Xenopus tropicalis: one gene and its partner. The protein of the gene in region 2 interacts with the protein of the main gene of each other region in a biochemical or structural test. Links are inferred from orthologs where the notes say so. Each region holds a gene or a part of one and is shown on either strand. Other genes may lie near its edges.

Region 1 (4,249 bases), on a different chromosome or scaffold from region 2:
CTTGCATGATGTTAACTTGAGGAGGTGGGGGAGGAGGTTGATGATGATGATGATGATGATGATGAGGTGAAAGATATTTATCCATTTCGCATCTAGTCTGAAAAATAAAAGAAAAAAAGGTTACATATTAAACCCTTCCTATATACCATTTTGTACTGCCTGTGGATGCTAACCTTCTGTTAGAGGCAAAACAAAAGATATATATATAACCAAAACAATGTTACAGAAATAACAGAACGCTAAAAATTATGTTTCCCTTCAAAATTCATTGCGCCAAGCAGATTCCCAGCACTAGAGCTGAGGCCAGCTTGATCCCTTTCTCCCACATACTGATACACACAGAACATTCCAAAGCAGCTAGAAAATGTTAGATAATATTCTCCATGGTGTCTCAACATAATATAGAAAAGCCAAGTCTCTGGACTTCCTAAACTGAAACAAACAGCGGCTGGTACAGTTAAAGAGACACTGCAGCACTTACATTCATATCTGCTTAGATGAGGTGCAGTGGAGGCCGTGGGTGGCTGCAGGATGATAGGTTACATTTACAGTCATCAGCAAAGCATTTATCGTGTGCTGCTCAATAGACAAATGCTACATTCCCCCTTGCACTGTAAAAACTCCAGTCATTCCTTAACCCATCAGCCTTCTCCAAAATGAATCAGCTGACAAATGGAAAACTAGTGTAATAACTCACATCAGTTTCAGAAACCAGGGGGGGTCACTTGCTAAGTATATACATACCCACAAAAGCCAATCTGACTGTTATTGCTCTCTTATAGACTCAGCACCTGCAGCTAACATACTGTACAGGAAAGTATTTGTAGTTCTTTATTACCAACATCACTTACACACTTTGGCGCAACACAAAGGCAGTACCTGACACTGACCAACCTGCACCTCTGCAATGGCTGCACAGCTGCAACCCACCCCGTTGATAGCATTTTGGGAGTAGTAGTTCAGCAGAGAAAGGAGCACAATGCATTCAATGAGAAGAGAAAAACAGACTTAACAGGGACCATAGTGTAAAAACCAGATACAACAGCAATAAGTTCTCCTGTGATAATAAAACTGCAGCCCTCCAGCTGCTGTTTTAGTACCACACCCAAAGGGATGCTTGAACTTGTATTTTAAAAACCGCTGGAGGAAAGCAGATTAAACATCCTTGATTACTATGACTACAAAGTATGGAATTGTCCAGATCAACTTGTGGTTAGGCCCCTTCTGATTATAGCTCAACCAGCTGTTGTTTGCTTCGGATCTATTCCCTGTATGAGTGTGTGTGGGGGTGGCTGTACCAGTACTACTATAGTGGGCATCACCATGTACATCCCGACATACCACCTCATACATGAACAGCATCACCATCCGCCATTATTAATCCCCCTCGCTACCTTTCATTGCAACACAGTATGTTACAGAAAATTTCTGTATAACTGATGCAGGAACCCAGGGTGTAGTAGAAAAGAGCAATACCCATGTATGTTACTAGTTGTTTCCTTTGGTAAATAAAACTGTTTGCAATATTGTATATTTATGTGTACTCCCTTGTATTATTATTTTTTGTATACATTTGGAAAACTTACACGTAAACAATATAAAACCTGACACAGTTTTGTTGACTAAACCTGATTAGATTTGGATCTGACCATACTGCATGACCAGGTTGGTATATATTCCAGGTTGGGGCAAGTTACAGCAGACCACCCAGCATTGCTGATCATCTGTCTGGACCTGCAGCCAAGTGATGTTATACCCAGTGTATAGCAAGCTGCACACACCAGGCTGGGCTCTCCCTTAGATTAAAGGCACAGGTGCATACTTTGTAAGTTGGCACTTGGTCTGCCACTTATATACCAGTTAACACAGCATATCCAGTGGCAAATAAAAGTTGTGGTATAGGGCTCTCCCAACTAATTCACTAGAACTCCCTGCAATATCGGTCGTGGCTACTATGGGCTTCCTACCTACAACTGATGATTTTCGGGGCCCTAAGAAAACACCCCCTGACTAAGGACTATACGCCCGAACCTGCTGTGGAACCGGCACTCTAAAGCAAAGAGCCTGTGTGTCTCTAACGCAGCCTTAGTCTCTCTCTAGCGCAGCCTGTGTGTCTCTCTAGCGCAGCCTGTGTCTCTCTCTAGCGCAGCCTGTGTCTCTCTCTAGCGCAGCCTGTGTCTCTCTCTAGCGCAGCCTGTGTGTCTCTCTAGCGCAGCCTGTGTGTATCTCTCTAGCGCAACCTGTGTGTCTCTCTAGCGCAGCCTGTGTGTCTCTCTAGCGCAGCCTGTGTCTCTCTCTAGCGCAGCCTATGTGTCTCTCTCTAGCGCAGCCTGTGTGTCTCTCTAGCGCAGCCTGTGTGTATCTCTCTAGCGCAACCTGTGTATCTCTCTAGCGCAACCTGCGTCTCTCTAGCGCACTCCGCCTGGGCAAGCAGCTACCTGGCCCCAGCTGGCTCACCCTGTGGCCCCTGCATGCCATGGCAATTGCTTCCAGTGAACACAACATGCCCCCTCCGCACCCACAGTGCCCATCCCAGCAGCGCCTCACCTGCACCATGTCATCGGGCATCATTCGGGAGCTCTTCATTTCTTCTGCAAACAGTGTCCCTCCCGTAATGGGCTCCCCTCGGACATGCTGCTGGCCCAGAACTGGCTTCAGTTGGGTAAAGACCGGCTCGTCCAAGCGCTGTAGCCTGGCACTCATGGTCAGCACAGTGGCAGCCATGTACAGCGGGGCGGCGCTCTGGCACACACACAAGGGGCACACTCCGGAGACTCGGTGTGGAACTTTAGAAGAAGCCGCGGAGCTGAGGCTCACTATGTAGAACTAGCCAAGCTTTACACTGTTCGCTCCGTGTGGCACGGCACTGCCCTATCCACACGCACAACACTCTACCTGTTGCAGGGTGGATCCCGCTTTATTCCGGGGCAGGTCGCTAGGGGCCGTCCCAAACAAGATCCAGCCAATAGAAGCCGAGCGTGGGTGACTGTGGGCGGGGCCTAGCTATTAGAAGCCGCCTGCAACTCAGGCGCAGCGTGAGGGCGAAAAGTTTCTCTGGGAATGGCTTGCTCGCCCGGGAGCGAGTTACCCTGATGCACTGTACGTTATTAGCCCCAGATGGTGCATTAAAGGGAAAGCATAGGGCATTGTATTAGGCAAGGTGGGCACGAAATGTTATGTGACTATAACTCTCTGAATTAAAGTTAGCTTATGTATCACTGTTGGTAATTCCATGGCTGGTGCCAGGGACTAAGGTGGAGATCCATGGGGCTGGTGTCAAACTGCTTGCAGCTTCCACAATAACCCACCTCCCACCATTGTCTGTATGGACTGACAGCCATCATCTCCTACCCATGGTACATTGGTTTGGGTCTAGTAAGCTTATTTGTGGCGGTTGCATAGTTTTAAATTCTCACATGGGGTAATATAGTAACAGTTGCAGTGTTTTCCCTCACCTAGCAACTAATCAGCATGTAGCATTTAGTGGGCATCAAATAGCTGGTTGCTATGGGTTCTGAAGGTGTATGGGGACCTTAACTCATAGCAACCAATCAGTTGTTTGCTTTCAAACAGCTGACCAGTAAATGCTACCTGTTGATCAATCAATAATTGAAAAATATTGTTCTCTAGGTACATCTCACAGGGTCTCCTAAAAGATAAAGGCTGGGAAAAAATGCTAAGAGTTAGAGGGCTCTTTAGTTAGTATGTTGTACAGGTATGGGACCTATTATCCAGAATGCCCCAGGTCCCAAAAATGGGACCTGGGATTTTCCAGATAAGGGATCTTCCCGTAATTTGGGTCTCCATAACTTAAGTCTGCTAAAAATAATTTAAATACTGAATAACCCCAATAGGGCTGTTTTGCCTCCAGTAAGGATTAATTATATCTTAGTTGGGATCAAGTACAATGTTCTGTTTTATTATTACAGAGAAAAAGGAAACCATTATAAAAAATTTGAATTATTTTCTTATAATGGAGTCTATGGGAGATGGCCTTTCGTAATTCGGAACTTTCTGGATAAGGGGTTTCCGGTAAAGGGATCCCATACCTGTACTTTACTTTGGACATCTAAATTATCCCTATTTCTTAATCAAGTGTCAGTTGTTTTACATAGTGTATCTTATTTGTTACTGAACAGACAATTGCTTCAAAGCCTTGGTGTGGGGTTACATAACAAGGGCTGTGTCACAATAAAACATCTGGTTTGAGCAATGAATTGGATATATTTAATGTAATCCCTTTGGCTTG
Region 2 (3,650 bases):
TGCTTATACCTTAAATAAGATAATGTGTAAATTGTAATCAATGTTTAAAAAATGTTTTTCAGAGTAGATTTTGTTCTCCCTTCTTGTTAGTGAGATATTTACTGGTGGAACAATGAGTTCTCTAAATCTTGCATGTTCCCTGCTGCACACAATTCTGTCACACTGTTAAGCATTCCAAATGACTCCAGATCCAAACGTTCCAACACATTATCTCTATATCTGTAAGAAAAAATATATATTATTTAGGCAAGTGACTTGTTAAGCATCCACTACAGTTTGGTTCATATTTGTAACAATTATAGTTCCCTATAGCTTAGTACAGGTCCTTTGCCTTTATCCTTATAGCACACATAATAGTACATTCTAAGTGGAATTTCTATACTTAAAAATCAGGTTTAAAAGAGAGAAATGAACTATAGTGGCTCGTAATTTAATTACATGTGGAATTGTATAATTGATCATTTGTAAATAATATTAAAATCATGTGACAGCAGAATAATTAGGGAAATATTTTTTTTTTTTTTTTTGGAGAATGCCTTTCTGGGAAACCAGAATCCCATTGTCCTGTCTTCCTCTTTCAGTCTATTTTTAGAGAGGGAAATATTGCCATTTTGCCTTACTTGATTTATCTGACTCGACACATTCAGCTGCCTCGCAGCCCAATTAAGTAGTCAGTCTTTTAAAATGCAAATAACCCATGGATAAACACAAGGAAGGGTTGTCTAACCATTTCCTTTGCATTTTTATGGTCTGCTAGGCTGCCATCATTACGATAATTTTATACCACAGAAAGATGTGTAAATTCATTGTCTTGGAATGAAGCGGTTTTAACATATTTAATGCCTCAGATATTAGACAAAATACAAGTAATTTACTTAATTGAATGCTTTCAATCATGAACTATGCTTTGAATAGCCCTGTTTTTTATATCATTTTGAGCCATTTTAAAATTGTATAGATTTCTCTTTGTCTGCATGTGTATATACAGTACATCGAAGGGAACATGTCTGCATTTAGTAAAAAAGAAACACATTTGGATACGTGTGTGTGTGTGTATAAACACACAACCATATATATATGTGTGTGTCAATATTTAGGTCAGAACTTATGTATCCAAGGTAAGGCTTGCCTGGGTGCAGTGCATAATTGTATACAAATGAACACCAGAAATCTCTACTCAGAGGACTTCACAAATCCAAAAAGTGATTTATTTAATTATTTGATTGTTTTTATGTTTCACTAAATAATCTGATAATTCTCTCTCTAGGTCCCAACAAACATCAAAGTGCTGTGACTTGTTTACAGTTCAACAAGAATTTTGTAATCACCAGCTCTGACGATGGGACTGTAAAATTGTGGGACTTGAAAACGGGTGAATTTATTCGGAATCTGGTCACGTTGGAAAGTGGCGGAAGCGGAGGTGTTGTATGGAGAATCCGAGCCTCCAACACAAAACTTGTCTGCGCTGTGGGAAGCAGAAATGGGACAGAGGAAACAAAACTGCTGGTGCTGGACTTTGATGTGGACATGAAGTGAAGGCTGGGGAGACAAAGTTGTCCATATTTTTAGACTGCTTATCCTCCTTTTTTCTGCCACCCCTTTCCTCCCCAGTTCTTCCCCTCCAAAAACATCAGTTGGCCTTGGTGAAACAGGATTCGGGCTTGGGGCAACAGATCACAAAGACCTACAGATCGTGGATGTGAAGGCATGATATCTTGTCACGAAAAAAATAGACTTCCTTGCAGGGTTCCTTTTTCTTTTGCAAAAAGGAGGAAGTAAATTAAAACCGGGTGAAATTATTTTTTGATTTCTCTCAAACTGATCTTACGGCAGCACCGGCGGTTGTTTTGGTGGACTGTCATTAATGCCAGAAAAACCTATGTCACAAAGCTACAGATATTCACAAAACACAAACAAATGCTGGTTGACTTTAAAAGAGAGCATTTGAAACAAAGTCATTTTCTGGTTTTAGAAATGCTGAAAAAAAATAACTGTGAATTGTTTTTGTACAGTTTTATCAATTTTTGCCGACTTTTGCCAATGTCAATCAATCACAGTATTAGCCTCTGTTATTTTACTGTTGCTTCCATCTACACTCTTCAATGCATATGTTGCCCTGGGCTGGCAAGCTAGTCCTCACGTTCTCAGATGGATGGAAATCTCGATGCTGGTGCTAGCAGTAGGTCTTTACAAATGGGATTGTTGTCCCACAGCTGTACTGTATTCCCAGTGGCCAAACATATTTATGCTGCTAACTGAAAGGAGAAAAAAAAAGCAAAATTTCTTTTTTTTTTTTATTATTATTATTTTACTGCTGTGACGTTTTAGTCCCAGACTGAATTCCAAATTCGTTCTAGTTTGGATATGGAAATAGATTTTTTTTTCTTTTTGCCACTGAAATTTGAACCCTCAGTGCCTCTAAGAGGCCGTAACTGGGACAATTTCAGACAATTAAGAGTGAAGTTTGCCTGCAAATTAAAAAAAAAAAACAAAAACAAAAAAACAAAACTTTTGAGAGTGTGCAAAGCTTTTTTTTTTATTTTATATATATTTTTTTTTTTTTTTAGCAAAAATGTAAAAAACATTCCTTAGAACAAAGCTGTTATAGCCTGTTCTGTTGGGATATTTTTTTATTTTTTGGAGGGCTGTGGTGAATGTAATTTCCGTAACACAACTGACAAGATGTTTAAGAAAAAAAAGTACAAAACACGAAATATCTGAAACCAATGTTGCTGGATAGCCTTGATAATGACAGTATTTGGGTGGAAAAACAACTGTTACAGTTTTCTATAAAGGCAATGCACAGGCCAAAAGGCTTTTGCTGCGCAAGCTTCACGTGCAAATAAACAATACCATACAATTGTCCGATAATTTGCCTCATTTTCCAAGAGTCACAACTCATGCTGAACTGTGAAAGTGGTTTAACACTGTATCTAGGCAATCTTTTTTTTTTTTTTTTCCTTTTTTTTTTCCTCCTCATCCTGTATTTTTATTATTTATAGTCTGGTTTTAAAACAATCAGATTCCATTTGGTTCATTTACAGTTCTGTAACAACCTGACATAATGGAGGAAACAATGTTTAAAGGGATTGTGTCTATGGTTTGATTCACTTAGAAATTTTATTTTCTTATAACTTAAGTGCAATAAAATGTGTTTTTTCATGTTAATAAGCGTTTGCGTTTCAATGGTGCCATTCTAGCCATGAGCTTATATATTTCTATTATGTTTGTTCTCCTGTATGCCAGATACTGCATTTGCAATATGGCGTCCTTAAATGAATAGTACTACAGGTGTCGGACCCCTTATCTGGAAATCCATTATGAATTACGGAAAGGCCATCTCCCATAGACTCCATTATAAGCAATTAATTCTAATTTTTAAAAATGATTTCCTTTTTCTCTGTAATAATAAAACAGTACCTTGTACTTGATCCCAACTAAGATATAATTAATCCTTATTGGAGGCAAAACAATCCTTTTGGCTTTATTCAATATTTAAAGATCCCTTATCCAGAATACCCCAGGTCCCGAGCATTCTGGATAACAGGTCCCATACCTGAACTGCAAATTATACAGTAGAAATGTTATTGTTTTCTAAAAAATATTTATACATTTTCAAAAAAATTGGGACAGGGTAATAAAAGACTGGA

The links. The genes of interacting proteins can lie anywhere in the genome.
Region 1: the proteins of fbxw7 (region 2) and klf5 form a complex in vitro, tested with the Homo sapiens proteins (2 studies listed by BioGRID, with this or other methods). The link is inferred for Xenopus tropicalis from reciprocal best matches to the Homo sapiens genes FBXW7 and KLF5.

The regions. Positions count from the first base shown.
Region 1 is NC_030678.2:127,158,611-127,162,859, forward strand, and holds the start of klf5 (Krueppel-like factor 5), read right to left. Parts: upstream 2,902-4,249; 5' UTR 2,725-2,901; coding exon 2,548-2,724; intron 98-2,547; coding exon 1-97. UniProt on the Homo sapiens protein: Transcription factor that binds to GC box promoter elements. Activates the transcription of these genes.
Region 2 is NC_030677.2:55,551,730-55,555,379, forward strand, and holds the end of fbxw7 (F-box/WD repeat-containing protein 7), read left to right. Parts: intron 1-1,267; coding exon 1,268-1,536; 3' UTR 1,537-3,168; downstream 3,169-3,650. UniProt on the Homo sapiens protein: Substrate recognition component of a SCF (SKP1-CUL1-F-box protein) E3 ubiquitin-protein ligase complex which mediates the ubiquitination and subsequent proteasomal degradation of target proteins.